Oryzias latipes: one gene and its partners. The protein of the gene in region 1 interacts with the protein of each later gene in a pairwise test. Links are inferred from orthologs where the notes say so. Each region holds a gene or a part of one and is shown in the gene's direction. Other genes may lie near its edges. The genes, in order: disc1, immt, rtraf, stx18, kifap3, nup160 and srgap2.

What was found.
Region 2: the proteins of disc1 (region 1) and immt interact in binary tests that used the Homo sapiens proteins (3 or more experiments, as listed by UniProt). The link is inferred for Oryzias latipes from reciprocal best matches to the Homo sapiens genes DISC1 and IMMT.
Region 3: the proteins of disc1 (region 1) and rtraf interact in a two-hybrid assay, tested with the Homo sapiens proteins (2 studies listed by BioGRID and IntAct). The link is inferred for Oryzias latipes from reciprocal best matches to the Homo sapiens genes DISC1 and RTRAF.
Region 4: the proteins of disc1 (region 1) and stx18 interact in a two-hybrid assay, tested with the Homo sapiens proteins (2 studies listed by BioGRID and IntAct). The link is inferred for Oryzias latipes from reciprocal best matches to the Homo sapiens genes DISC1 and STX18.
Region 5: the proteins of disc1 (region 1) and kifap3 interact in a two-hybrid assay, tested with the Homo sapiens proteins (2 studies listed by BioGRID and IntAct). The link is inferred for Oryzias latipes from reciprocal best matches to the Homo sapiens genes DISC1 and KIFAP3.
Region 6: the proteins of disc1 (region 1) and nup160 interact in binary tests that used the Homo sapiens proteins (3 or more experiments, as listed by UniProt). The link is inferred for Oryzias latipes from reciprocal best matches to the Homo sapiens genes DISC1 and NUP160.
Region 7: the proteins of disc1 (region 1) and srgap2 interact in a two-hybrid assay, tested with the Homo sapiens proteins (2 studies listed by BioGRID and IntAct). The link is inferred for Oryzias latipes from reciprocal best matches to the Homo sapiens genes DISC1 and SRGAP2.

What each region holds. Positions count from the first base shown.
Region 1 is NC_019873.2:28,410,448-28,414,574, forward strand, and holds the start of disc1 (disrupted in schizophrenia 1 protein), read left to right. Parts: upstream 1-1,327; 5' UTR 1,328-2,194; coding exon 2,195-2,264; intron 2,265-4,127. UniProt on the Homo sapiens protein: Involved in the regulation of multiple aspects of embryonic and adult neurogenesis. Required for neural progenitor proliferation in the ventrical/subventrical zone during embryonic brain development and in the adult dentate gyrus of the hippocampus.
Region 2 is NC_019868.2:4,714,172-4,717,671, forward strand, and holds part of immt (MICOS complex subunit MIC60), read left to right. Parts: intron 1-1,025; coding exon 1,026-1,155; intron 1,156-1,276; coding exon 1,277-1,500; intron 1,501-2,808; coding exon 2,809-2,940; intron 2,941-3,500. UniProt on the Homo sapiens protein: Component of the MICOS complex, a large protein complex of the mitochondrial inner membrane that plays crucial roles in the maintenance of crista junctions, inner membrane architecture, and formation of contact sites to the outer membrane.
Region 3 is NC_019860.2:16,861,878-16,865,858, forward strand, and holds the start of rtraf (RNA transcription, translation and transport factor protein), read left to right. Parts: upstream 1-1,181; 5' UTR 1,182-1,293; coding exon 1,294-1,354; intron 1,355-1,796; coding exon 1,797-1,921; intron 1,922-1,992; coding exon 1,993-2,092; intron 2,093-3,423; coding exon 3,424-3,501; intron 3,502-3,582; coding exon 3,583-3,671; intron 3,672-3,783; coding exon 3,784-3,852; intron 3,853-3,981. Other genes in the region: histone deacetylase complex subunit SAP18, read left to right, coding at 420-529, 629-751, 821-977. UniProt on the Homo sapiens protein: RNA-binding protein involved in modulation of mRNA transcription by Polymerase II. Component of the tRNA-splicing ligase complex and is required for tRNA ligation.
Region 4 is NC_019863.2:30,760,718-30,764,791, forward strand, and holds the start of stx18 (syntaxin-18), read left to right. Parts: upstream 1-1,274; 5' UTR 1,275-1,290; coding exon 1,291-1,482; intron 1,483-4,074. Other genes in the region: uncharacterized protein LOC101155681, read right to left, coding at 448-580, 668-956. UniProt on the Homo sapiens protein: Syntaxin that may be involved in targeting and fusion of Golgi-derived retrograde transport vesicles with the ER.
Region 5 is NC_019875.2:21,195,307-21,199,438, reverse strand, and holds the start of kifap3 (kinesin-associated protein 3), read left to right. Parts: upstream 1-1,332; 5' UTR 1,333-1,497; coding exon 1,498-1,526; intron 1,527-3,633; coding exon 3,634-3,765; intron 3,766-4,010; coding exon 4,011-4,132. UniProt on the Homo sapiens protein: Involved in tethering the chromosomes to the spindle pole and in chromosome movement. Binds to the tail domain of the KIF3A/KIF3B heterodimer to form a heterotrimeric KIF3 complex and may regulate the membrane binding of this complex.
Region 6 is NC_019864.2:4,341,703-4,345,143, forward strand, and holds part of nup160 (nuclear pore complex protein Nup160), read left to right. Parts: intron 1-143; coding exon 144-277; intron 278-1,203; coding exon 1,204-1,364; intron 1,365-1,464; coding exon 1,465-1,601; intron 1,602-2,226; coding exon 2,227-2,297; intron 2,298-2,681; coding exon 2,682-2,832; intron 2,833-2,938; coding exon 2,939-3,008; intron 3,009-3,090; coding exon 3,091-3,189; intron 3,190-3,262; coding exon 3,263-3,376; intron 3,377-3,441. UniProt on the Homo sapiens protein: Functions as a component of the nuclear pore complex (NPC). Involved in poly(A)+ RNA transport.
Region 7 is NC_019863.2:28,127,926-28,132,181, reverse strand, and holds the start of srgap2 (SLIT-ROBO Rho GTPase-activating protein 2), read left to right. Parts: upstream 1-1,456; 5' UTR 1,457-1,516; exon of another isoform or gene 1,517-2,343; intron 2,344-2,353; 5' UTR 2,354-2,800; coding exon 2,801-2,867; intron 2,868-4,256. Other genes in the region: protein FAM72A, read right to left, coding at 272-366, 460-584, 1,055-1,132, 1,305-1,456. UniProt on the Homo sapiens protein: Postsynaptic RAC1 GTPase activating protein (GAP) that plays a key role in neuronal morphogenesis and migration mainly during development of the cerebral cortex. Regulates excitatory and inhibitory synapse maturation and density in cortical pyramidal neurons.

The sequences.
Region 1 (4,127 bases):
AGCATTTCTCTCATTTTGCCTTTTTCCCATTGGAGCAACTGGCACTAAAAATAAAAACAAAAGTCACAGTTTTGTCATTTAAAAACTCTGAAATGTTCTCTTTTTTTTTAAAGCATAAAGCCATTTTTTTCCATCAAAATTGCCTGTTAGATCTTTCTCTTTTGTGCTGGATTGATCCACGCTCGTCCTCATGTCACATTTTAAAACCCTGTGTGGCCCACAAGTGAAATCTGTCATCTATCAGAGCAGGACCATTCTGCCACCTAGTGGCCATTTGTAGAACTATAAATATTTAAGAAAAAGTGTTCATTGGAAACATGGAATTTCAAAAAATGAAATTAAAAAAATAAGAGAAATTAAAAATAAACTTCCTGCCCTGGAGAACTTTGTCATTGGGGTAAAATAAAATAAAATAAAAAAATACAAAATGAGAAAAGTATAAACTGCTGAAGCTTGAATCTGAGGTTAAGCCTGACATCTGCTGGTCAAACTAGGATAAGTTCAAGTTTACTGGAATTCTTCATGAATACATATGTTTGTTTAAGCGCGTAGGAAAATGTCAGGCGTCATTTTTTTTGTCTTGAGAAGTTTCTTCATGAAGCTGTTGTGCTATTTAAAAAAAAAATGAATGGGATTAATAAAGAAGTAAAAGAAATGTTTTATTTTAAGAGTTGTACAAACTTCATAATCAGCCCATACAAAAAATCTGACATAAAATAAAAGGCTTTTTTTTGCTATAAACAAAAACAATTGAGACATTTTATCCTTATTTTACAAAAAATTAAAGTACAGTTTGTCAAACGATTTACAATACATTTTCATTTTTTGTCTTAGCTGCAAAAAACGTTTGTTTGTTAGTGTTCAGATAAAGTTTGTTTTTGTCTTTTTTTATTGCCAGAGTTGAATAAAAAATAAAAACAGTCTCTGCAGGACTAAATGGGAGAAAAAAACATGACTTCAGTAAAAAAAAAAGACTTTCTGCTAAAGACAAATGGGAAACTGGTCTAAAATGAGATAAAACAGGTGTTGAAGTGAGTGTTTTTTTCAAAGAAGAGGCTTCACCACAGCAAGTTTTAAAGCAGACCCAACAACTCCAGAGCTTAAAGAAGTGTTCATATAAAGGACCGTATCTACTTTAACTGAGAGAACTTTTAGAAGGAGAGAGAAGAAAAACAACCCCTTTCTGCTCTGGTGGTGAATCAACTCAATAACGAAATGATTAAATGGAACAGAAAATATTTCCATCAAGTTTTCAATCCATCTTTTCTGCACGGAGGCAGTTTTTGACACCTTCAGGACAACTGCTCAGATTATACTGAAGGAAAGTCTGATCCTTCCTCTTTTCCTGGCCGCCAGGCTGGTTTCTGAGCCAAAACCAGATCCAGATCCCAGCCTGGAGGAGCCAGAACCCCTCCTCCCTGGACCAAAGGACTCCAGTTTATCAGCGAGCAGAGCTGAATGAAAGGAGCTTTGGAGAAGTGTGAGGAGGAGGAGGAGGAAGATGAAGACTCCCCCAGTCAGTGCAGAAACAATGGGGTTGTTTTAGCATGAGCAAGGCGCGCTGAACTCTCATAAGTGCGTTCAAAGAGCATTTTGGCCCCTAAATGTTTGAAAACAGCGGGCGGAACATCTCCACATGTCCGTCAGCTGATCGGGTCCCCAAACAAAGACAAACGGCGGCGGTTAATCCGGTTATGGGCTGTCCACCGCCTTCATGAGGCGGTCTGAAGGAGTCAAATTCCTGAACACGTAGGAGCTCCTCAGGACGCATGACGCACGGCTAACGGGTTCCTTTCCTGATCGATGGACTTTCCGCATTTGTTTCTCCACTCTGAACAGAAAACGCCTTAATTTGAAGTTTTCAGTTGTTTTATTTCCGCGGTTTGAAGAACATCAGAAGAGGATTATCCTAGTTCTTTTTTTTTAATCCAACCATCTGTTGACGCGCCGCTCCAAACGGGCTTCTCTCCAGAGAATAAAGTTCAGAATCAGACCGGATGTTCAACCGCTGGACAGTCGGTGTCATTTTAGGACTGAAGCCGCGTTCATGTGATCCACCGGAATCAAGGAAAACCAACACAAGTTCACGGTCCGTAACGGAAATGAGATCAGGCCTTTTCTCCCCGCTGCGCTTTTTCTGAAACATGGTCGCTGCGCGCGCGCAGGGATCCGACACCGAAACGCGACCGACGGCATGTTTGCGGGACTGATGGGACTGCAAAACCGCAGCAGATCGGCGCTCCACCGATTCGAAGCCACAGGAGGTAAATATGGAGAAGGGGGGTCCGCTAAAACCTGCCCGGTTCTGACAAGGCTAGCCGGATCTCTCTGGAACAGCTGCGTCCGAATGAAGAACCTGACAGATGTTTCAAAACTAGGAGTAGAAACAAGGATTTCTTCCCACGTGAAGCATTTCTTCTGTCATCAGAGTTTCTAGCAGAGTTTGAGAAGCGCAGAGAGGTTCCGGCTCCATGACAGCCAAACTATTGGACCGCTGACAGGCCAAGAAAGAAAGGCGCGAGGAGCAGGGAACAATTCACAGTTTAGGAAATGTACTATGAAAGTTTAAGTACAAAGTATTCATTCATTAAAAGTAAAATAAATACAAAAATTTAGAAAAAGAACAAACGAGTGACAGTTTTCAGTATAAAACTTATTTAACTCAGTACTGTTCATTCAGTTTTGCATAAATAATCTAAATAAGAATTCTGGATTGTAGTTATTAAAATCCAATGCAATAAAGAAATCTGTAAATCATGAAAAGGACAAATATTAAATTAAATAAAAAACACTTCAAAGAAATGTTTGTTTTAAAAAAGAGAGAAACGTTTCATTTTATAGAATTCCAGTTTTTCATTAAGCGTCGATAGAAGTGAATGTAACAGGTTTAGTGCAATAAAACTGCTCTTTAAATTTTCAATTACTTCAAAAAAGTAACTGAAGTGAATGTAATAGAGTAAATGTGACCTAGTTCAGGCTATGACGCCCATCAGTGACTAATTCACATGAAAGATGTTTCTATGATGAATCTGCTCCATGTACACAGACGATAATATGTTCTTGTTTCAACCAAACCCACCTGATATGTGAAAGCTGCCGAGTCTGCTGCAGACGCAGACGCTGCTGCTGCAGGCACTGCTGCAGACGCAGGCGCTGCTGAAGACGCTGCTGCTGCTGTAGACGTTGATGCTGCAGACACAGGTGCTGCTGCAGGCACTGCTGCAGACGCAGGCGCTGCTGCAGACGTAGGCGCTGCTGCAGACACAGGTGCTGCTGCAGACGCTGCTGCTGCAGACACAGGTGCTGCTGCAGACGCTGCTGCTGCAGACACAGGTGCTGCTGCAGACGCAGGCGCTGCTGCAGACACAGGTGCTGCTGCAGACACAGGTGCTGCTGCAGACACAGGTGCTGCTGCAGACACAAGTGCTGCAGACGCAGGCGCTGCTGCAGATGCAGGTGCTGCTGCAGACACAGGTGCTGCAGACACAGGTGCTGCAGACACAGGTGCTGCTGCAGACGCAGGCGCTGCTGAAGACGCTGCTGCTGCTGTAGACGTTGATGCTGCAGACACAGGTGCTGCTGCAGGCACAGGTGCTGCTGCAGACACAGGTGCTGCTGCAGACACAAGTGCTGCAGACGCAGGCGCTGCTGCAGACGTAGGCGCTGTTGCAGACACAGGTGCTGCTGCAGACGCTGCTGCTGCAGACACAGGCGCTGCTGCAGACGCAGGCGCTGCTGCAGACGCAGGCGCTGCTGCAGACGCAGGCGCTGCTGCAGACACAGGTGCTGCTGCAGACACAGGTGCTGCTGCAGACACAGGTGCTGCTGCAGACACAAGTGCTGCAGACGCAGGCGCTGCTGCAGATGCAGGTGCTGCTGCAGACACAGGTGCTGCAGACACAGGTGCTGCTGCAGACGCAGGCGCTGCTGCAGACACAGGTGCTGCTGCACACAGGTGCGTCTGCAGACGCTGCTGCTGCAGACGCTGCTGCTGCAGACACAGGCGCTGCTGCAGACGCAGGCGCTGCTGCAGACACAGGTGCTGCTGCAGACACAGGTGCTGCTGCAGATACAGGTGCTGCTGCAGACACAGGTGCTGCTGCAGACACAAGTGCTGCAGACGCAGG
Region 2 (3,500 bases), on another chromosome or scaffold:
AATAGTTGGACTAGTTAAGCAATCAAACGCCGTCTCTTGGGCCGTGAATGGCAGAGAGCTGCTGAAGGCGGCCTGTTGGGGGCGGGGGCTTTATGTCTGGTGTTTCGCTGAGGAGAGGAGGGAGACGTTTGAACGCCGGCATCAGATTGTCTCAATGCAATGATCTGTGTTTTTTGTATTTCTCCCCGTCAAATAAATATGAACAATAACATTTATGGTAGCGAGTTAAAAGCGACTTTGCTAGTTACCAGTAGAGGGACATGCAGAGGACCGAGATGCCCACTACTATTTGGAGAGAGTTTTCTGTACGTTCAGCACATCCGTACACCCTCCAGAGCGTCTCCACAGCACAAGGCTTTTCTCTCTGAGTTTGAGTTTGACAGTGGTGGAGACAGAGAGCCGGAGGTGCGTCTGAGCCACAATGACCAGCTCCACATCAGTCCATCCAGTTAAAAAAAAAGGGCTTAATGCCAACATGTCAAAATCCTAATTATTAGGTCGCACAATAAATCGCAAATGTATCGTTATTGCGATATCAATCTTTGCAATACGCAATAAATGGTTACCTTAAACGTGCTAAAACAATCTTATGGCAGCTTGAAGTATTCAACGGATCAAATAAATCCCTTTATGCATTTGACCAATCAGATGGACGCTTTTTAAGTTAGATACCCGCCTCCCATGTAGACTAGTTTCATTTGGAGTATAATTGAAGTCATGTTGACTCATATTTAAGTTAGTAGTTAAATGGAACAAATCGCACGTTTTCCTCATAGAGTTTGAAGAGCCATGGTATGTCAAAGAGCGCCTTACTTTTGGGTGTAAGTTGGATGCAGATTTCTCCTCATGGTTCACAAATCCAGCAGATCTTCAGGCAGAGTCAGGCCCAAACGGGGGGAACGCCCTGCTTTCAGCTGCTCACAGATGTTGGGAGGTGTTGATCCCAGAAGCAGTGGTCATTCTTCAGCCTCACTTAAGAAGCCGTCTCCAGGACAATGATGGTGATAGAAAGGATCTGTATGCAGGTGCAGTCGGCTGAGGTGGAGTCCAAGATCGTGTCCCAGTACAGTGACCTGGTCCAGGAAGCCAAGCAGCAGTTCCAGAAGGAGGTCAGCAGCCTGACTCCAGAGATCCAAGCCAACTGGAAAGGCCTCAGTGAGTCAGACTCACCTTCATCCTCTAACTTGGACATCTTAGTACCACAAAAACCCGGCAGACTAAACCAGCTGAATGGTTGTAGAATAAGGAACTGAACCATTTTGTGTGTTTTTGTTAGCGGGGAAGCTGTCCACGGACGACCTGAACGCCCTGATTGCCCACGCTCACCGCCGGATCGACCAGCTGAACCGAGAGCTGGCAGAGCAGAGAGTCCGGGAGCAGGTCCACATCGATGCGGCTCTGCAGCAGCAGAAGCTGGAGGACCAGAGAGTGCTGGAGAGGGCCGTCAGCTCCTCACTGCAGCACGTGAAGGAGGAGGCCCGGCTGGAGCAAGAAAGAAAGGTTTGAAGCTGCGGCGCCTGATGCTGAGCCTCCGCCACGCCACACACACACGAGCGCCTACATCCAGACCCGTGCTGCAGTTAGGTTTAGAAGATCCTTTCATCAGTTTGGTCATTTTAAAAAAAACAAGAGGTGCCTCCTGCTTTTTGAGATCAAAGACTTCAAGGGCGAGCATGAAGAAGAAGATCTGGCTGCAGAAAACCTCCTTAGTTCTTGTTGTCACACCCAAACCACTGTGGTGGAAGAAAAGTGCTGTTAGAAAACAATTAAGATCCATCATGAACTAACATCAGGACAACATGGATCCGGTTTATAAGATCAACAAAGGTCATCCATCAGAAGCAAATAGAAAAAGTATCAGTAAATACTCCTTTATCAGCGTTTTGAATGATAGAAAATGTGTTTCTGCAGCTTGTAATCTTCTCTTTGGGATGAGTGATGGATGAGGAGCTGCAGCTCCTGTTTTTAGGACTTCTGTTCTTCACATGTGAACAAAACCCAGCAGACAGTCTAGAAGAGACAGATGGGAGAATCTCAGCTCTGAAAAGCAGCACCAGAGCGGCGCTTCACAACCTGTAGCCTGTGAGCCACACCCCTGAGTTTACTGCTGAGGCGCGTCACAGTTCTGCTTTGAGAAATGATTTTTCAGACTTTTTATGCATCTGGGATTCAGTCCCAGATTTGACAACGTTCTGCCTTTTTCCACCAGACCCCGGAGTGAAACAGGAGCTTCTGCTGAAGAGCAGAAGGCTTTATGGAAAGACATGTCTGATGGTCATCTGACCACCACTGCAGACATCAAATAAGAATGTGGTATTAAAAAAAACCATACAGAATCAAGAATCCAGAACTCAGTAGCCATAAACCAAAAAAACAAATCCCTCCTTTTTTTCAGAATAAAGCAATATTTCTCTCTGCTCTTTTTAATTAACTGGCTGTGTTCATAGAGGTGAGCAGCGTGAGAGCGCTCTCTCATTATTCCATGTTTGCACAAAGGTATGGATTTGTACTCATAATGAGCAGTTTCTTTGTACATAACGTCTTAAGTTGAATTCAGATTGACGTAAAAAAATGGGGAGATTGGAAGTTGTCAATTTTACGTCCTTAAATCTATAGACGGTCTGTGTGAACATGCCTCAGAACAAACTAAGAGTTCAGGATAAAAGGAAGACGGTGAAGTGCAGTCGTCTTCTCGGAGTGCAACAGCACCACCAGGTGGACCCAGCGGGGACTGCAGCCCCTGCTGTGTTGGCAGGGTGCCGACCAGATGAACTGTGATGCCGATGAGGCGTATTTGTCTGTGTGCAGATGAACGAAGTGAGGGAGGTGATGGAGGCGGAGATGAGGACTCAGCTGCGGCGTCAAGCGGCGGCTCACACGGACCACGTCCGAGATGTGCTGAAGGTCCAGGAGCAGGAGCTGCGAGCTGAAGCTGAGCAGGTGTTCGCACTGAATCACACTGGACAGGGACATCAGCCCTACGGGGCGCGTTGGACTAGCCCTTGTGCTATCTGTCCCACAAGACGGATAGCACAAGGGCTAAGAGCTCAGAGACTGGCCAGTCCATGAAGACATTAGCAGCTCTTCATCATCATCAATCAACAAAATAAAGTAAACCATAAACGTATAAGAAGTAGAAGAAGCAGATCTTAAGATTTGTGGAGAATATTGTCTTTGATTTTTTTTTTTTTTTTTTTTGTCCACACCATCCCTCCCTGATTGTACGGTTTGAGTAGGGATGAATACTGGTTATCTGGTACTGACCAATACTTTCCAAACCGCTCTGGTGCTTTAACTGTCCCCAGAGCTTGAAAAATTAACAAAAAAACCCCAAATATGCCAGTATTTTCCAGAAACATGTGATTAAGCAGCGTGACGGAGGTGAATTTGCCTAAGAGGCTTTATCTGATTCTTTCTGGCAGTCTGCGTTGCATCTCTGTTTTCACACGCGCAGAAGTTAACGCGTCGTTCACGTCACTCTTACCCATCAGGCTGCTAAT
Region 3 (3,981 bases), on another chromosome or scaffold:
CCTACATTTGGGTCGCGTGGGCTTATGTTCTGAAGGGAGGCTTTATTCATGTGCTTTTTGGTCGAACCTGTTTAATCGGGTTTCCCGAACTTTGGATCAGTGGGTTCTAGAACCTCAACCCCCCCTTCCCCACCCTCCCTCGCTGAGACTAAAGTCGATACTACGACATTGAACTGGAACCACTTGGATTGTAAAATAATTGTAAATTATTTACTTAAAAATGCAGTACAATACATTTATCACATGCAGTGGTTTTAAATGTATCAATATAGCGCGAGGGGCAGGCAGTCTAATAGAATTCAGCAGCTGGCACACAGTACACTTCCGTTTCACTTGCAAAATAAAAGCATTTAAAAAAGGTCTTTGGACCCAGTATTTCAGTTACTGTTTAAATGTAATGCCTGTATTCTTTTTTGCAGACCTGCCCTCTTCTGCTGCGAGTTTTTACCACCAACAGCGGCCGCCACCACAGAGTAGACGAATTCGCTCGAGGAAATGTTCCCTCAAGTGAACTGCAGATTTACACGTGGTACGTAACTGGTTCCGACTTCCTGGTACTTTAACCCAAGAGTCCAAATGAAATCTAAAGTGAGTCTATTTCTTTCATTTTTTTTTTTTTTTTGGCCAGGATGGATGCCACTCTGAAAGAACTCACCAGTTTAGTGAAGGAGGTTTATCCAGAGGCCAGAAAAAAGGGGACCCACTTTAGCTTCGCTATAGTCTTCCCTGATCTCAGAGGGAAAATGTACAAGTACGTATAATTGTCGTAAACAGCTGTGAATTGGTTTTTTGCTTTGATTGAACCTGTTTTGTTCTGTAGGTTCAAAGAGATCGGCAGTACGATATCTGGCAGAAAGGGTCCAGATGACTCCATGACCTTGCAGTCTCAGCGGTTCCAGATTGGGGATTACCTGGATATCGCCATCACGCCTCCCAACAGAGCCCCGCCTCTTGGCCCACGAATGCGTCCTTTCTGAACCCATGCTCACCTAAATATGTGCTTTGATTGACAACTCTATTTCATTTGTGTCTTCAGTAGTTTTGTGTCATTTTCTAATAAAAAAAAACTTGTGTTCAATAAAGACTTTTCATTTCAAAAATTCACCCTTTTGTTTTTTCTTTCTTGGTCACTAAAATAGTTCGTCACTTTATTTTGAAAGGTAGGCCTACAGATTGCAGTCTCCGGTCGCGCATGCGTAGATTCTCAAACAGTCAGCTAGCAGCAAACTAGCGTAGTTAGCTTTGCTGCGGCGTGAAAACACGTTTTCTCTATCAGAAAATCTCCAAGGTGAAATGTTTCGTAGAAAACTCACTGCTCTGGATTATCACGACCCCGACGGATTCGATTGTTCGGGTAAGAAAACGTTTAAATACGGCGAAGGGGGGAGAAATTCACCCGTTTCCAGCTGACGTTGTCATTATTGTGGAGCCGAACTAAAACTACCCTTCTAAAAATAGCAACTTTATAAGTTATGTGTTCAAAATAGCAACAAGAAAGATTCAAATGTCGTTCTATTTATAGTTTAGAAAGTTTACTGTACCATAATTAATTCGGCGTAGACAGCTTCATGATTTGATCTACTTAATTGAAGAAATTATAACTTTTTTTTTAGCTGCTTGCTAGTTTTTCTAAAACGTTTGCGTTCGTGCATCACTATGCTAGTTTATACAATTGTTTTCAGGCTCTGTGTCCAACTACACCCAAAACCCATAGCTACTAGTACTTAATGCGCATTTCAAAGTAAACCAGGTTGAACTTTGACCAGATGACTGCAGTGCTTCTACATGATCTGCAGATGAGACTCAGTTCAGGAACTGCATCGTGTGGCTGGAAGACCAGAAGATCCGACACTACAAGATAGAGGACCGAGGTAACTTGAGGAACATCCCCAGCTCGGACTGGTCCAACGCCTTTCAGAAAGTGAGTGTCTGCTGTGCTGCAGCGTCCCCCCACCCGAACCTTCGGGGTTCTGACTGTGTGTGTGTGTGCAGTATCTGCAGGACCTGAACTGTCCGTTTGGCGCAGAGGAGAGGAAAGAAGCTGTGGACTGGTTACTTGGCCTGGCTGTGCGATACGAGTATGGAGATAACGGTGAGATTCAGCAGTGGCAGGAGCATTTGTGGGGGGGTGCAGTACTCAACAATGACCACTAGATGGAGATAGTAAAAGGAAATTCAACTAGTCTGATTCAGAAGTCCCTCCAAAATAGGGGCGATTAAGCCAGTAATTATTTTCAAAACAAAGAAGGGGAGATACTGCTGTTACCCTAAAATCATCCCCTCTACCCCTTTTTTCTTTGCTCTTCTTTATACAAACAAAATACAAAAGAAGCTGCATCACGCAAAACCCGGAAAAAATTTAATTCTGAACATTTACCATAAAATAGTAAGTTGCTAATGACTTAATTCCCTCACCTTTTCAAAATAAAAGGAGGAAATATTGCTTGGACTGTTGACCACAAGATTTGCGGTAGCTTTATACTGAAACATCAATCATTGTTTTTGAACAAGTGCAATGACACATATTTTTGTGTCTCTCTAAACCCTTTTAGATTATTTTTAGCGTTTTTGTTTTATTTTGTTTTTTTAAACAGTTGTAAAAAGAAACTAATGTGAAGTTTTGTATATGTTTTTCCAAGTTACACACTATAGCTCTGTGGGGGAGTATTTAGCATCACCCCTGTGTGTGTGTGTTTTTGGTTTTCTTCTGGGATACTTTGTTGCCAACTTTTCAGCTCTGCAGCATCAAATTCGCCCACAAAATGAATTATTCTGAACGTTGGACGTTGGTAGTTGTTGGAGCGCGCTCAGTAAGGCCCTTTAAGGGTTGAGAAATTACAGGGTAAACACCCCGTTTTGATTGCAAATACTTTTAAAAAACAATCAAATGAGGTCTATAGAGAAATGCATCAATAAAATGAGTAAATATTAGCCATAAATATTAGCAGACACTAGAAGTGAAAAGGGATCAATTTGTTTCTGGAACCAGTCCCCCAGTGGCAACCTTGGGTACTACATTAACTTCATATTATTGTATATTTCTGTTTAAAGAGCTTTTTTATTTCACCAGACAAAACTCCTGTATTAAATATCTTAGTTTTGACACTAGGTGGAGCTGCTGCCCCAAACATGTCAGCTTCTGCAAGAATGAGGAATTGCGGAAGGAAGAACTGTTTGTGGGCAACAATAAAGCACATAATTTGCAAATAATTTATGTTTTTTTTCATTTTCCCCCTGTTTTTGCTGTCAAATAAGACAAAAAACACCAAACTGAGATCACTCTAGACATGTCTTGTAGTCTGCAGTTACTGCAGGCTCACAAGGTGAAAATCTTGGCTACATTTTGAAATAATTCACCACTTTCTGTGGTCGTCAGGGGGCAGAAGTTGGATCACCGTTTTTGTTGTTGATTTATTTTATCAGTTGAAAAGTACAGGAACTGTCAGCCGCTGGCGTCCGGGAACAGCGACAAAGCGGTGGATCCGCTCCTCAACCTCGACAGTAAGTCTCTGTTTTCACTTCTGCTACTGGAAAACTTTTTATGTTATATTTTTTTTACATTTTGTCACATTCTTTTTCCAGGTAATTCTCCGGATTTCAAGGCAGGAGTTACGGCTCTGGCCAACATCCTGAAGATCCAGCGACACGACGATTACCTGGTCATGCTTAAGGTGGAATGAAGAGAGGGTTCATTCCCCATTTGAGTCAAGTTTGAAATGATTTATCCTTAATTTATCTCAAGTTTTTGCCTTTTTTTTGTTTGTGTTGTTTTCCCATTCTCAGGCCATTCGCATTCTGATCCAGGAGCGATTGTCTCCAGAGGCGATCACCAAAGCCAACCAGAGCAAGGAGGTAAATGGTGGCCTTAGTGTTCAGCTATGTTTACGTCGCCCTCGGCAACGCGCCTTCAAGCTACCACTTGCAGTGAAAAGTCTATGTCGTAGATGCACGTTTAGGGGCTACCGTGTTAGTTAACTAAAG
Region 4 (4,074 bases), on another chromosome or scaffold:
CCAATCCTCTTTTGATCTATTTTCATAGCGTTATTATCTATTAATTATGATTTTGCCGTTTTTAGCCTAAATCAGAAAACGTGTGTCGTTGACTAGGACATAGTTTCTGCAGAGCAGCATGAGTTAATTTGAAATTCCCCTTCCCATCACACCTTTGTTTACACACTCTTTTGCTAGCTTACAGCCCCTCACACCCCCAACCTAACAGTCGTACAGTTTTGAGCCAGATTCCGGCTTGGACGTACATGGATATATTTATCTCCAAGTGGATGCATCTCTCATCTTTCTAAGTAGGAGAACTTGCACAATTGGTGGCTGACTGAATACTTTTTTTTTTTGCCCCACTGTATGTCCTCCATCATGAAAAAAATACCACAAGAACATGTAAAAAACTCGCACAAACATGATTTTCATCCTTAAAGAAATAGGGGGGGGAAAAAGTGTTGCCTGTTTTCTGGATTTTCCGCTGGATCTGCGTCACGAAGTTTCTTCTGTTCCTGCATCTTCTTCTCCGAGATGTTCAACACAGAAATAACTATCTGTGTCACGGCACTAAGTTTCTCAAATAACATCTCTTCTTCTGCAACATTAAAAAAACAAAAGTTTGCTATTAGTCAGAAATGCACAATGTTACTAAACTTAAAAAAGAAAATGCATGTTTCCTGACCTTTGTTACTCTGTCGTTTTATCTCCTCCCTTGCCTTCGCAAGGAGGTTTTCCCACTTTTTGTTGCAGTCGGAAACTGTGCGCTGGACCTGTGGAAAAGCATCATTAATAGCTTGGACTATCTCCTTCCAGGCATGCCTCTTGTCTTGAACCGATACTCCGGTGCTTTGCTTTCCTCTGACTATGTTCTGCTTTTTCTGTATTAACTGAGCCAGAAGAAGGCATTCCGGGTCAGTCCAGTTGGGTCTTCTCTTTCTGCTGGTGGAGCCCTTCACTGGCTGTGGAGGCATTTGTCTGCGAGGAAAACACATAAAACAACCATTAATAGAACGTATTAAACAAAATAGAAACTCATGAAAACCCTTAGATTTTTCTCAAAATGATATTCCCCTTAACGCTTCTAAAACCCTATAATTTCAGATTAGTCCTTTTCTGTTATTGTTTTTCCATTATATACAACCTAATTCAAAGTGAAACAGTCAAATGTTGAGTTTTGGTTAAGTTCCGTGTTGATTTAATGGGAAATCAAATCCTAATCGGTGCAAACCTGTTTAAGGCTTTTCCTTTTTCCCCTTTGAGGGAAAAATCCGCTGCGGCGTCTCATGTTGATGACGTCACCGGTCGATGACGTGTCGCCTTGTTGACAGCGGCGCGTGCACAGAAATGGCTGTGGACATCACTCTGCTTTTTAAAGCCAGCGTGAAGACAGTGAAGACCAGAAACAAGGCGATAGGGATCGGGTTCGACTCGACGAAAGATGAGATTTTCAAAAGAAGCAGAACGAAGAGCGGCTTCACCCAGAGAGCGAAAGAAGTGGTGAGTGCTCCTCTTAGCTAGCGATAGCATGATGATGATGATGATGATGCTAGCTCATTTGAAACGATAAAACTTCTCTACAAACATTGCCTTTTATATGACAAATGTACACACCACTACTTTTTCTTTTAAAAACGTATAAGTACAACCATTGTTGGCTGTTTTTAAGTCGTTTAGTACCCCAACTGTTTAATTTTAAAAAAGTTGCTGCTTTTAAATTAATACCTCATAAAAAACATAAACTTGACCTAATTTTTTTTAATCTACAGACTTTGCTGTGCAATTACTGGAAATGTGAGCATTAATGAATGTAGCACTAGTTTTTCCCTAAAAGACTACACGTTTTTTAGATGAACGTAGTTGAAAAAAAAATCTTGAGCGATTGATTGATGTTATTAACAGACTAACTACCCTGTAAAAAATACTATAGCTAAGATACAGATTTCATATAAAATAATATTAATTTGAAATCTTCATCAATTATATACATGTAATTAATTTTAAATACATATCTGTGTACCTGTATGCCTGTTATGATGATTGATAAAAGTGGAAAATCTAATGTTTCAGAGGACGATTAGTCATTTTGTTGCATTCAAATAACAAATAAATGTTTACATTTGTTTCCTTATGGGAGCTTGAAATCATTAACACCTGCAACAATAAAATAATTTCCTGCAATGAACGCACCAACACAGTGTTTGTGTCCGAATTCCCACCCTAACCCCTAACTACTGCAAAACTATATAGTGACCTGAATTTTCAAAGCAATTCGGTCACCATGCTCACTACTGGAAATTCAACTGGTTAAACAATTTTACACTTAATCGCAGTCCTGCAACCAATCTGAGACTCGGATTTAGTAGTGACATGAGGGTGGCGTCCGCCACGGAAGTACCAACCGTTGTAAACATGATTTCGAAGGAGACAATAATATTTGCGGTTTGTGTTCGGACTCCAAGACGGACATTTACAGGAACAAAGCTGTGAAAACAAAACGTCTGGAGCAAGATTTGCGGGATTTTCACAGCTTTCACTTTGCACACTGAGCCTCTTCCTATTACAGGTGGTAGACAACAGTAAATACGCAGAAGAAGAAGAAGAATCTTCTCCCTTTCGCTACCTGCATGTCTGCTGCTTTTCCCATGTGGACAGTTAACAGTCGACATCGTTGAATATCAAGCTTGTCTACTTCAGCTTTAAAAGAGTCATAAAAAAGAGCTAATTTTGACTTTCCCTTACGAAAAAATCTGAGACGGAATTTATTAAAAATTATTTTCTCAATGCATTCATTCATCTTCTAATCTGTTTGATCCCTTTCGGGGTCACGGGGCTGCCAGAGCCTATCCCGGCGTCTTGCGGCCGAAGGCAGAGGACACCCTGGACAGGTCGCCAGTCTGTCACAGGGCCTCAACCACTCACCCATGCACACGCACGTTCACACCTATGGACAATTTGGAGGGACCAATTAAGCATGTTTTTAGATGGCGGGAGGAAGCCAGAGTCCCCGGAGAAAACCCACACATGCACGGGGAGAACATGCAAACTCTACACAGAAAGGTCCCCCATTGGTGTTCTGTTTCTGGTCCCCCAGCCGGGACTTGAACCAGGACTTCTTGCTGTGAGGCAAGAGCGCTATTATTTTCTTAAAGCAAATAAATAAAATATCATAAATTTCAGAAGGCCTGAGCAGCTGCGGCTGCTCTCTCATCTGCCCCCCCGTCAGCCTCCTGGGGGTCGGTGCAGTGGGTGGGGTCACTTCAGCCCCATGGGCCCTGCAACAGACTGGCAACCTGTCCAGGGTGTGCCTCACCTTAGCCCAACAATAACCAGAATGTGCTCTGGCAACCCTGCAGCCCCAAAAGCGATGTAGCGTGATAAGCAAATGGATGGTAGATCAGGACAAGGCCGCTTGGACCGATCCTCCACAGTGGATTTTTACTCCACCCCTTAACACATCAAATGGGTGAAGTGACACCTCAACCTCGCCAAAAGTCAGATTTTTTTTTTTACTCTGGATGCGCCACAACACCCAAATCGTGCTGCGACACTCAAAACGCACTGCTGCCGGTCTGCCTCGCTGCGCCTGACGCTACAATCACGCTGCCGGACCTCAGATCAAGTCTGTACATTGGCTTAACATTGTATGTCGCCCCCATTATAATTGCGTTCGGTGTGATAACCATCTTCAGAGTTATGGGTCTTTGAATCCAAATTCTGGATGTTCTAGACTTGGTGTAGGTCAGTAAAGAACACAGAAGGCGGAGGAAGTTGACAGCATGCTGAACATAAACTTTTCTCCAAATTTCCAGCTATAGATTAATATTCCGATAAAGACTAGTTTTTGGTGAAGAGTTTAGAAGACATCAGTGTGCACCCGTTTTTCACAGGGCAACACGGCCTTTGCTCTGCCCCAGCAGTTATTTATCTGACTTAAGCAGATGTCTTCAAATAAAACCTTGAAGAACCACTTTCACATTTCCCACGGGGGAGTAAAATCTTAAATGTCACCAACCATCAGCCTGAAGACGACATGAGAAGATCTGCACCAGCCACGTTTTGGTCGTGTACTTTTGTAGCGGCATTAAATAC
Region 5 (4,132 bases), on another chromosome or scaffold:
TTTCTGTGTGGCATTGTGTGGAGGGATGATTCTTTTTGTCTTTTTTCTCACTTTTTCATACCAAAACTAGTCAAATCATTAATCGGTGCTCGCTAAAAGGACAAAAAGCCCTATAACAATCAAGTGGGACTTGTCTGCATGTTTAGTTTAGCTTAATGAGTCTTATAGTCTGAAAAGTATATTCCTTTTTAAAATTAAAATAGTTTTATTTTTCTTCAACCAAAGAGCCACAATAGAGGCTTTAAAGAGCCACTTGTGACTCCACAGCCTCAGGTCACTGTCACTTTAGGAGCTTGTGGTATATCTGGAACAAAAGGAGGAACTTGGTTGGAACATGTGCACTTGGTTCAGCAGCTGCACAGGGGCTCAAAGAAAAGCTCTCCAACGGTCATCAGCACCGCCCAAAAGATTGTTGACTGCTCTCTCCCCACCTGGAAACTCTCCACAGCTCCAGCTGCCTCAACAGAGCGCAGAATATCTTTAGAGACACATCACACCCCAGACATATTAAGTTCTGTTTGTGCCAAAAATATATGGGTCAAGCAGAGTAAGGACAAAAAGACTCTAATACAGTTTTTACATAATCCATAAAAATGTTAAATGTGGCTAGGAAACATTTAAGCTGGACTTCCGCTAAATTGTGATACAACGGACATTTTCTTCTTCATTATTATTATTATTATTATTATTATTATTATCTGAGTTTAACACATATTGACTATCATGTTTTTTTTTAGCAGTAGTCCATATAAAGCAACAAATTGGTTTAATTTCAAGTTTTAAGCACTGCCCAATGTACTTCTATGTTTTACTTTTTATTTTAAGTGGTAGGTCTTTACCATGGGTTGTTTTTAAGGTATGACAATTAATGATAAAGATCTATCTATCTATCTATCTATCTATCTATCTATCTATCTATCTATCTATCTATCTATCTATCTATCTATCTATCTATCTATCTATCTATCTATCTATCTATCTATCTATCTATCTATCTATCTATCTATCTATCTATCTATCTATCTATCTATCTATCAAAGCACAGTATAACATATAGGGGGGATTTAATGAGACTGAACAAAGTATTGTATCTTACAATTAAATTTGCGACAGCGGCTCGAATTATTTTAAAAAGCTCTCCTTTACTGACTCAAGTTGTGTTGTGGACATTAAACTGTGCCCTATACAATTGTATGTGTAAATTGTATTATTACACATTACTTTCTGCTTCTGATCGTATTTCTTTTCCAGCTGTGAGGATTTGGATTTGAAATGTTGCCTTAAAGTCATTACTTAGGGTCTACATTCCCCCTGTAAGTTATAACTCAGGGCACCATTTGCCCACCGACGGCTAACCCTCTAGCTTTGTATTATTGTATTAACTGCCGCTATCATTGACAGTCTGTGACGGGCAACCGCTGTGATTTCGGAGTAAGCTCAATCAGATGTGATACAACTATAGAAATAATAAAAGGGTAAATTAACATTTACAAGAAAATGCAGGAAGACACGCGCTGCCTCAAACGGTGAGTTAGAATGAATGAGTTATTTTTTGTCGATCGATCATCGACCAAGGCCTAGAAGAAAGAAGACGAGCTCTGTAATATTTAAATGAAAAAGTGATTGATTAATTATATCAGCAAGTATTTGTTTTTTGTAATTCGCAAGAGTCGTCACTTCACGAAAGACTATAGCCTAGCAAACACGTTTATATTTTGCTTAATGGGTACGGAGAGAAAGGCGTGCTGTTATTTATTTGCTTTCTTTTTGTTAAATGTACACCACATCTCGCAATTAAAGATGACTGTCGCTGCTTTGCACAAAACAACAACAAAACGCATGTTAAATTGTTACCTGAGGGTTTTTTTTTTTAATGAAGGGGCTTATGGGAAATCAGGGGGTTGCTAGCCTAGCTAATGAGCTAAACATGGAGAGACTAGTTTAAACGGCAACAGATAATATGTATTGTTTTACTGCTTCAACAGCTGGTTGTTGGTTTTCAGTCATAAGACAGTCAGCGTCCGCGAGTGTTTGTGATACACGTCGACGATGGAGATTCCAATAGGCCATCCTTTTCCCGTTGTCCAGCAATGTACGACAAGATTGACATCATCATATTGGGAGGGGCAGTAAATAACGACACATGGCTTTGCAGATACAAAATAAGACCCAGGCCGTGGTATCATGGCCCGTCCTGCTATCCCCACTGCCAAAGTGGAACAGCAACAGCCACATGAAACAGTGGTTCCACAGGAAACACAAAGTAAAACATTGGAGTTTTGGATAATTGGGTCTGGAAAGTATCACTGCCCAGCTGGGGTCAGCAACTTTCCTGTTGGCCGAGCGATGGATCAAGGTGGCATGCTAATGGTTCAAGTCTTTTTTCAATGATCATTTGGAACCATCTCCCTTCAGTCTCCCTGCAGTGGAACTGCAGTGGATCCATCCACTACTACCACACTCACCCCGCCCGGTTTGTGTTTCTGTTCGCAGGGCTCTCTACCTACTAGGGGTGTAACGATTCATTTGAACAATTCGATTCGGTATTTTTGCCAATCGATTTCAATTTGGCTTCATTTTGAACAATTTGATTCAATGTTATTCACTGACCTAAAATCAATCCAGAACATCTTCAGCTAACATTTCAACCAGTGTGACTCAGAGAGAAGCACCTGGTACTGAGCAGTGAAGGGGGGCATTCCAGAAAGCAGGTTATGCGAGTTACCACGGTAAGTTTGAGGCTAAGGAAGCGGATAACCTCATCTTTCAGTTCCAAAAATGGAGGTATGTTTCAGGGTATGTCAAGTTGCCATAGCAACTCTTGCTCTGAACATAACCTGGTCTGGAGCTGGTTTAGTTGAAGGTTACTTTGTTTTCAGAGAGGTGAAGGAGCATGGCGAGTCCATTTGAAGATGATTTAGTGGATGAAGAAGCTCAGATAATACTTTTTCCACCATGAGAGGGCGATAAGACCATGTATGGATGTTCAAGATTCATGATTTGTTTTATTGTCATTCCACATATAGTATTTGCAGAGAAATACACAGATGAGACGAGATGTTGTTTCTCACTAGCATGACAGTGCAAGAAAGCAGCAATAATAAAAAATAGCAATAAAATAACAATCCAAGACTGGAAAAAAAACAATGAAATGAAATTAATAAAAAAGGAAAGATAAACTTTTTTACATTGATCTAACTTAATTATTTGCTTCAGTTAAGATAAATCTTTTTTTTAGTTAAGGCTGCTTAAAAATAACACGTAGTTATCAGACTTTTATTTTACTTTCATTCAATTTAATTCAATTAAGTAGATGTAACTTTGATGCTGCTGTTAGAGCGGCACCGCAAGGGATTGTGGGATACCATTTCCTTTGCCTGTCTGGACGGATTTGGTTTTAAGTGTGGGTTTTTGACCAAGGCTGTTTATTTGTTTAGCTGTTTTACTGTGTTTTGCCTAGTTATTATGTCCTACTATGGTTAAGTCTCTGCACCATGAGTGAGAGGGAGGGAGAGGATGATGAGTTTATTTGTTCTCTGTCATTAAAGATTATAATTATGTGTTTGTTTTTTTCACAAGACATTTTAGACTGTTAACATTTTGACCTCATATTTGTTCAATTTTGATCCCCAGCAAAGTGACGTTAGGGAGTCTGGATGTCCATCCCACAGAGAAGGCTCTGGTTGTTCACTACGAGGTTCAGGCTGCTGTCTTAGGAGGTGGTGGAGGTCCTGTGCTTGGTGAACGCAAAGAAGGACAAAAAATGTATGTTTCTTGTTATCTTTCCTATATTTAAATCAAACGGATTGATTAACTTGTTAAGTTAGTTTGGATTTGTTTAAAAGTTGTATCCACCAAAACTGGATTAGCATTGTTATACATTTTTGCAATGATTAACAATGAAAAATTAGCTACTTCTAAATGCATCAGCCTCTACATTCTCCAAATGGAAATAATAGATGGAGTCAGTTATTTGTGATGCTTCAATGTTTGCCCTTCTCTCCATTTAGAATCCGTTTGAAGAGCCTCTCTCCTACCACAGATGTGGCAGCGTTGGCTAAGAAAGTGGTGGAGGAGTGCAAACTCCTCCCTGCCTCCCGTTTGCCACAAGTGGAGCAGCTCCTCTACTACC
Region 6 (3,441 bases), on another chromosome or scaffold:
ATCAGGTTAGCAGAAATTTTCCAGTGACAGAAATGAGTTTTTTGACTTTTCTAGTGTGCAAACCTGTCTGTGCAGAGTCTCATTTCTTCAGTCATGAGAGCACGTTCACACTGAATTTACACATTTGTCTTATTCTGCTGCAGCAAGAATGCAATCGCCGATATCCAGAGCATAATGCAGGATGTGCGGAATCCGACAACAGCCATGATGGTTCTGCTCAGGGAACTGGAACTGGAAACAGATTTGGAGCTTGGAGGGGAAGGATCTGCAATGCCTGGTAAGACGACTCCACCACTCCATCCACTCATAAGGGAATCAAAGATGTTCTGCCTGAACCAGACCTAGATAGACTCAGTCACCCCCTCCCCGTGGATTAGACTGCTGTAACATGTTGGTCCACATGAAGCAGCTGGACTTTGATAAGATCAGGGTCAGACCTGCCGCTGCCGCCGCCATCTGCAACATTCTTCCTGATGATTTTGGACAAATTTCTACTCCAGCAATGTTCAGATCCAGAACACAAACTGTTCTTTCTAGATCAGAGTCTGACACCTGAACCCTTTATTTTAATCTGGTTTTACATGACAGTGCTCCCTCGTTTTTCCCGGCAGTTTTGTTTTAAAAATAACCCACTTTTCTTAGACGGACATTTTTTTACACTTTTTTGTTGTTTAAACCTCAAAATTGAAAACCTTGATTGAAAATTTAGTCCAGTATAGAAAGAAAACAAAAGCCTTTTTGCAAGCTGAACTCTTTCTGTTCAAGAAACACAACACAGATGTTGATTGACAGTGAGTCACAGCCAATCAGGACGCAGAACAAAATGCACTGTTAAAAAAAAGATCAGGAAAACTGCAAGACTACGAAAGGTGAACTGCGATATTGTGAGGGACCAGTGTACATTTGAAATGCTAAATGGCTCATACTTGTACAGTCCTTTTCTGTGTTGCTTTGAGGCCCAGAATGCGTCTCTTTCACACACCAAACTGGCGCCAACCTATAACTACCTGAAGCAATGTGTGGGGTTTGGGGTCTTTAATACAAGCGGGAACTGAACCTGCAATCCTCTGATCAAAAGTTCACCGCTCTACCTCTGCACCACGGCCTGCAACATTTAATATGTCCTTTTCTATGAAGCACTTGTGGATGAATTTTGCTGTACATTGGAGCTGGCTTGTGTTAACCCTGTGCTGCGTCTTGCAGATCAGACCCTGAGCTCCAGGCTCAGCCTGTCTCGTCTGTACAGCAGCAGCACCGCCGTGTCTCTCTTGGGTCAGGCTGTTTGTCACATGGCCATGACCCGGGCCATGTTCTGCAGAGACCTCCTCATCCTGCAGAAGCTCTACCTGCACTTTGGAGACAATGTATGTTCAGCACTTCAAGAGCCACTGCAGAAGGAGAATGGATGACTGGAGGAAGCGTTTCTTGTGCTGCACTTCTTCATGCTCTCTCTTGTCTGTCCAGGTTTTTCTTGGAGGAGGGAACCAGCTGCTGCAGCTCCAGCAGGATCTGATCCCCCGGACGTCCCACCTTCTCTCCTCCTATCACCTACTCAAACATGTCAGCTGCAGCCTGGCCTCCTCTGTTGCCATGGACACAATGTGAGTATGAGCCATTGATTGTTCCTGAGAACTGGACTGAGTGAGTGGGACGTCACCCATAGAAAGTGGTTCACTTCTGGCCATATGAACGGCACCATGTTGGTGACAGCCAACATCAGAGAGCAGTGATTGGTCTGAGTCAGCCGTTTCTTTTCTTACCAATCAGGAGTGAGCTTGTTGGACATCCACACCCCTACCACTTGAAAAAAAGGAAATCAAATGTAAATCCTGGACATGCTTTTATTGAGGCATCTGATCGGTCAGTTTATTACTTAAATACCTCGTAATAAAGAAAATGATAATAAAAAATGAGGATCATGTTAGAAAAAGGTGTCAGATCAAGAATAGTTCTTCTGACCAGTAGAATAACAGCTGTTTATCTCTCTATGGGATTTTGGTTTCTTGGAACCAGCAGGTACTTCCTGTTTGAAACGCCATGGGGGAGGGCTCACTCAGTCCAGTTATACAGTCAATGGTCTGATCATTAAGGTGGAGGCTGTAGCTGGTTGGCTGTGTCTACAGGGATACCAATGCTTCATATCAGGTGTTTGTGGGTGGGGCCTTATCCTTATCCCAAGGAGGACCACGGTGCTGGAAATGATAGTTCTTCTGTGATCCGTTTCAGAGACGTGAACTTACAGAACCTCACAGCCCTGGAACTGACGGACACACCGAGCATCTGCTGCGGCCGACTGGGTCAGACACACGCATGTACACACAGACGCACGCACACACACACTGTGGAGCGCTGACAGAGTCTGAGCATGTTTGAGTGCCTGCAGCGTCAGTGTTGGATTGAAGCAGCTGCATGAATGTGAGCCCGGACCCTTTCATCCCACTGAAACCGTCCTGTGGTCAACCTCAGGCAGCGAGCCCTCCCCCCATCACTTAGAATCCTGTTCATTTTGTACTTCAAATGTAAAGTAATTGCTGGTGGGGGCCTTAAAATACGGCTGTGATGATGGAGAAGCTGTCATGGACCGGTTTGAGCTGCTCACCTCCTGCTGTGAGGCCTTCACTCAGACCCAGTGGGGCTGTTTCACCTCCTCCTGGAGTTGATCCTGATCTCCTTCCCCACAGGCCTCTGTCCTCAGACAGTGGTGGAGCTCTTCTACCGGACTGCAGGCAGGAAGCTGGTAGTCTCTCAGATGTTTTCCCATCAGCAGATCCCCTCCCTGCTCCTCTGGAGCACAGTCATCTCCAGCGTGGTCCAGCTGCTGGCTCAGCTGCTGTATCCTTCCTGTCTGCTTTAATCTGGTTTTTCATGACACGATGTCAAGTGCGTGTGCATGCGTGTGCACAGCAGTCTGTCACTGGTCTTAACAGCTGTCTCCCAGTTGGCCCAGTAACCCTGGTTTCCAGTTCCCTGAGTGCCTGCTGGCTGGCTGTCAGTACCTGCAGTTGCAGGTGAGTGCACACCTGAACCATGGGGAGGAGCTGCTTAACACTTTGTGTGCACGTGCACACACCTGTATGTGCGTGTGTGCAGGAGTACGTGAGGCTGATCAGCCCCTGGTGTCAGGTGAACGTGGGCTCCTGCCGCTTTGTTCTGGGTCAGTGTTACCTGGCCAATGGGGAGGGGCAGAAGGTGAGTCTTAGCGTGATGAAGACCCGCGACCTGCTGGGACGTCCCGCTACTTCACTTCCTGTCTCTTGTCCAGGCCCTGCAGTGTTTCCAGGAAGCGGCCTCCGAGGTGGAGAAAGAGGACTTCCTGATGAAGCTGGTGGCGAGCGAGGATGAGGAAGCTCCACCCAGAATGCAGTACTACAATAAGGTCAGAACCCACAGGTGGAGCACGCTCCACCCTCACCCCCGTCCTTCCAGAGTCCCAGCTGACTG
Region 7 (4,256 bases), on another chromosome or scaffold:
AAGGAGTGCATGTGTCTGTGCTTTAATGCTGTAGGGGAAAGAGAAGACGGCAATTTAAAGAGTATTTTAGACCTAACCTGTCAAGTACCGTATGTTTGGTTCATGAATACCCCCCCAGTCAGAGACGTCACAGCAGGTGTTTAAGTTAAAACCCACTGCGGCACCAGAGTCTGTGTTAAATCACCCCTTAAGGTTCCTCTTTTCTGCTTCATTTCATACACACTTGTCAAATGTTAGCCTCCAGGGCTCCTTGGATTGTCCTTTTCCCACTCTACCTGATGCACTCCTCCTCCGATGGGCTTTCCGATTCTTCGTTTTCACTGTCTTCTAGCTCGGGGAGATCTCCCCACAACAGCAGATTCAGACCTGCATAGAAATTTAAAGGAGACTTGGAGTAAATGTTGGAAAAAGAAAAAGAAAAAAAAAAAGTTTCCTTATAGGCGAGGACTGAATACCGACCCGTTGCATCCAGTCTGTTGAGTGTGGATACAGCGTCACTATTAAACATCCAGAAGTGGCCATTGTTACATGAGAGTAGGCATGGTTTACAGGGGGCCACGACGTGATAGCCCACAACGTTTCCACTGGGAACGGGAGACAAAAAAACCAAAAAAGTGATTCAGCAGTTTGCTGAAAAGTGCCAACTCCACCAGAACGTTTTTTGTTTTGAACTATAGAAACAATAGAAGCACTATAAAGCTGAGCTGCTGTGCAGAAAGTGAAGAAACATTCCGATTAGATAAATGACAGAAAATCCTTTAGAATCTGAAAAATAACATTATTAAGGGGGGATTCTTTGGGTAAAAAAAAATAAATACATAAAACTATATTTATTTTAAACATATAGGCTCAGAGAAAATTTTCTAGAAAAAAACCACATGTTCTATTACACTACAGCTCTTTTATAATCAATAACCTGTTTAATGATAACTAAAATGAAGCAAATTGTGATTTGTAATATTAAATAAGTGTGTCTCTGTTGTGCTAAAAGCTGTATGTGTCATTTTATGCCAACACAAACACACCTTTTCAGGTAAAGGAGATGTTTACATACCATTTCAGACATGCAATGTCTCTCAGTTTGCATTTGCAGCTGTCAGTGGAGTAGCAGCTGGCCACAAAGTCAACAGTTCTAGAGGAAAGGATGGGTTTCACAAAGACATGATCAAACGCACTCATACTTTCATGCAGCAATCCTGCTGAATATAGTTTTTTTTTTAATTGATGGTAAATCGACCCCAACCTGGCAACCACAACAGACATCAAAGCAGAGGCTGGCAGCACAGCTGACGGTTAGCGCCTACCTGTTTGGAGGTATATCCGTGGAAAAAAGCTCCACTTCGGTGTCTGCAAGCAGCACCGCCTTCATTCCTCTGGTGCACAGCAGGTTCTCACAGAATATACAGTTCACCTGGGCAACGCATTTGTTTTTAAAACTTGCGTTGGAAGTAGACATGGTAGTTTCTGTTACGAACGAACGCTCGGCCCTTTTGTTTGTTTTACCTACAGGCAGCAGGTAATCGAAACTATCGACTAGTACCTTGACGGTTGAATAACCATTCAGCTGTTAACTATTAAAATTTACTATGTTTGGATATTTCTGGCGTCCTTGTTTAATTGTTAGCTTTTTCGTAGCTGTAAACGGAAAGACTTTACTTTGGCTAACAGATCAGACAGATTAGCCGCGAAAGATTTCTAAAAAGGAATTTAGTTGGCGATGTTAAAACAATATTTCCGACATCTATAAAATAACCACCTGTTTAAAAAAAAAAAGCTCAACGCCCATTCAGAAGTGGTTAATCGCTAACTAAATAGCTGTCAGCTTTGTTTACAACTTCCTGGTATATAAGGCCACTTCCTGAAACAGTTTTAAAAGACCCGATACCTGTTTCTGATTGGATGCCTGGTTTGGTAGCTCGATGCTATTGGTTGTCTTTGACAAACAGTCTAAATGTGATTGGTCAAAGAATTTGAGTTGTAAGTCTTTCTCCCAATGAGATAAAACTGCCATCGGCACTTTGGGATTTTAACATGAATGGATTTTATGAAAAAAATTATTTTTATTTATCGTAGCAGAAGTGTGCATCTAATTTAGAAATATAAACACAAAACAATTTAGGAATGTTATTTTCTTCTTTTTGAGATGAAAAGCTTATCAAATTTAGCTACATTTAAACTGCAATGTTGGTAGTTTTTATGCCAAAACTACCAACATTGCAGTTTAAATGTCTCTGTTTGCAGGTTTATGTGCGCAGATGAGCAGCACACATGTCTGCATTGCCTGACCTGCGCACTGGCGCTGATCTGCAGCCATCCATTCCATCACCACTTGGTTTCCTCTTTCTCACTTCAGGAGAGGAACGAAGACAGCACTTCAGTTTGGACAAACGGAGGGGCTACAGCAGCGCGCAGTCTGGGAAAGTTTCAGAGAAAAGAGAACTTTGCCAAAGCTCTGGTGGATTTGGCCGCTAATATTTGTTTTGGGAAGGGAATGACTCTGTTTTCGCCCAAAATAGTTTGCACCACAACCGGTTTTGAGGAGGCGGCAAGGCGCGGCGGCGGATCCAGCAGCTGCAGCAGCAGCGCCAGGCTCACAATGCGTCCCGAGTGAGCCGAGCAGCCAGGGAGACAATACAGATTCACGGCGGGCTTCAGTCCTTCTCCTCCGTCTTTGAAACCAGTTCCAGGGTGGACACCCCTTAATCCGAGACTGATTTAGATTTTCCCCACCCTTGTCTGTGGAGTTGAGATAAAGCTGATCTCTCAACGACGACGACTGGTTCGATCTCCAAACTCAGCCATGACGTCTCCAGCTAAATTCCGAAAGGACAAGGAGATCGTGGCCGAATATGAAACTCAAGTCAAAGGTAAAACTTTTCCAAATGTTTCTCTGCGGGCAGCAGATCAATCGCCGGCGCGCTAAATCTTTTGTATCAGTGTTTTCCCCTGACTTTGATTGAATGTTCTCCTCACTTCTCCCCCCAAACGCACAAGTGTGACCTGCCTTTGTATTTTTACCAAGCATCTGAGGAGGCTAATTGTCATCAAGCCGCCAAACAGGTCATTAAATAAAAAAATAAAATGTGAACCATGGAAGAGATCTGCAGGAGGGCTTGACTGCTGGCGGCGCAAAGATAACAAAGGCATCGGAAAAACGCGCAGACAAATTGCGCGGTGATCTCCAGATGTTGCTCCAACAGTCTGGAAAGAGAAGAAGAAGCGTAGGTGGAGGTGGGTGAAGGAGTGTGTGAGAAGACACCCCGGGAAAATGGGGTTTCGACACGGAGCAGGGCAGGGCGTTTTCTTCCCCTGTCTCCTCCTGCGTGTCTGCATCATGTGCGTCATGCGCTCAGAACGCAACCAAATGATCAATTTTGCGTAAATGGGTTGCTAATTGATCACCGATGATCAGGCGATCATGTCTGATGATCAGGGGGGCAGATTGTGGATAGGAAGAGGGGCGTTCGTGAGTGTTTGGAGGCTGTTTGGTCTGGCAGGCACACTGGATCCATTTGTCAGCGTAAGTCTGAGTGCTTATCAGATCTGTGTGGTTATGTGGTTCATATGTCAAGCTGGTGAAGTAAAGGAAAGGGGGAGGTCAGTAGATTGTCCTCCTGCACACAGCATGTTCACTCTGCTACTAGAGGGCCAGATCATTTTGATAAGACTGTCTGCCTCTTTTCACCCCCATTTAGGAGCAATTCCTCGGCCCACTACTCACAAATTTGCAGCCCTCTGGCTCTCCTGGTCTCCCGTGGAGCAGCAAGTCACAAAGTGGTTTTTGAAACATCTCGGTTTTAATCGCCTCCCAACCTTATCTCCACGGAGGGGTGCAACGATTCATCAATTTAATCCAACCAAATCAATCTGTCTTAGGCGAGTTGTTAAAGTCCCAATCCGATCATCTTTTGTGGGCTTTTAGTTATGATGATGTTGTTTTTAACCCCTTCAAAAAACCTGTCATTTTTTGGGGACATAGTTTCTGCAGAGTACGCCTTCCCCCATTTCCCATCATCCCCTTGTTTACACTCTCCTGCTAGCTTACAGCCCCTCACAACCCTAAACTAACATTAGCCATGCAACAAAAATGAGCAATATCGAAGCTATTCCGCTGTACACTTTGGCGCCAGATGTCAGCTCGGATGAGGAAAACAAAGTTGTGCATGGATTTATTTGTCTGCAACTGGATGCATCAGAATGGAGCAGAGCAGAGGGATTGTTCAATTGTAGCTTCAACATCACAGCTGTAAGCTTTT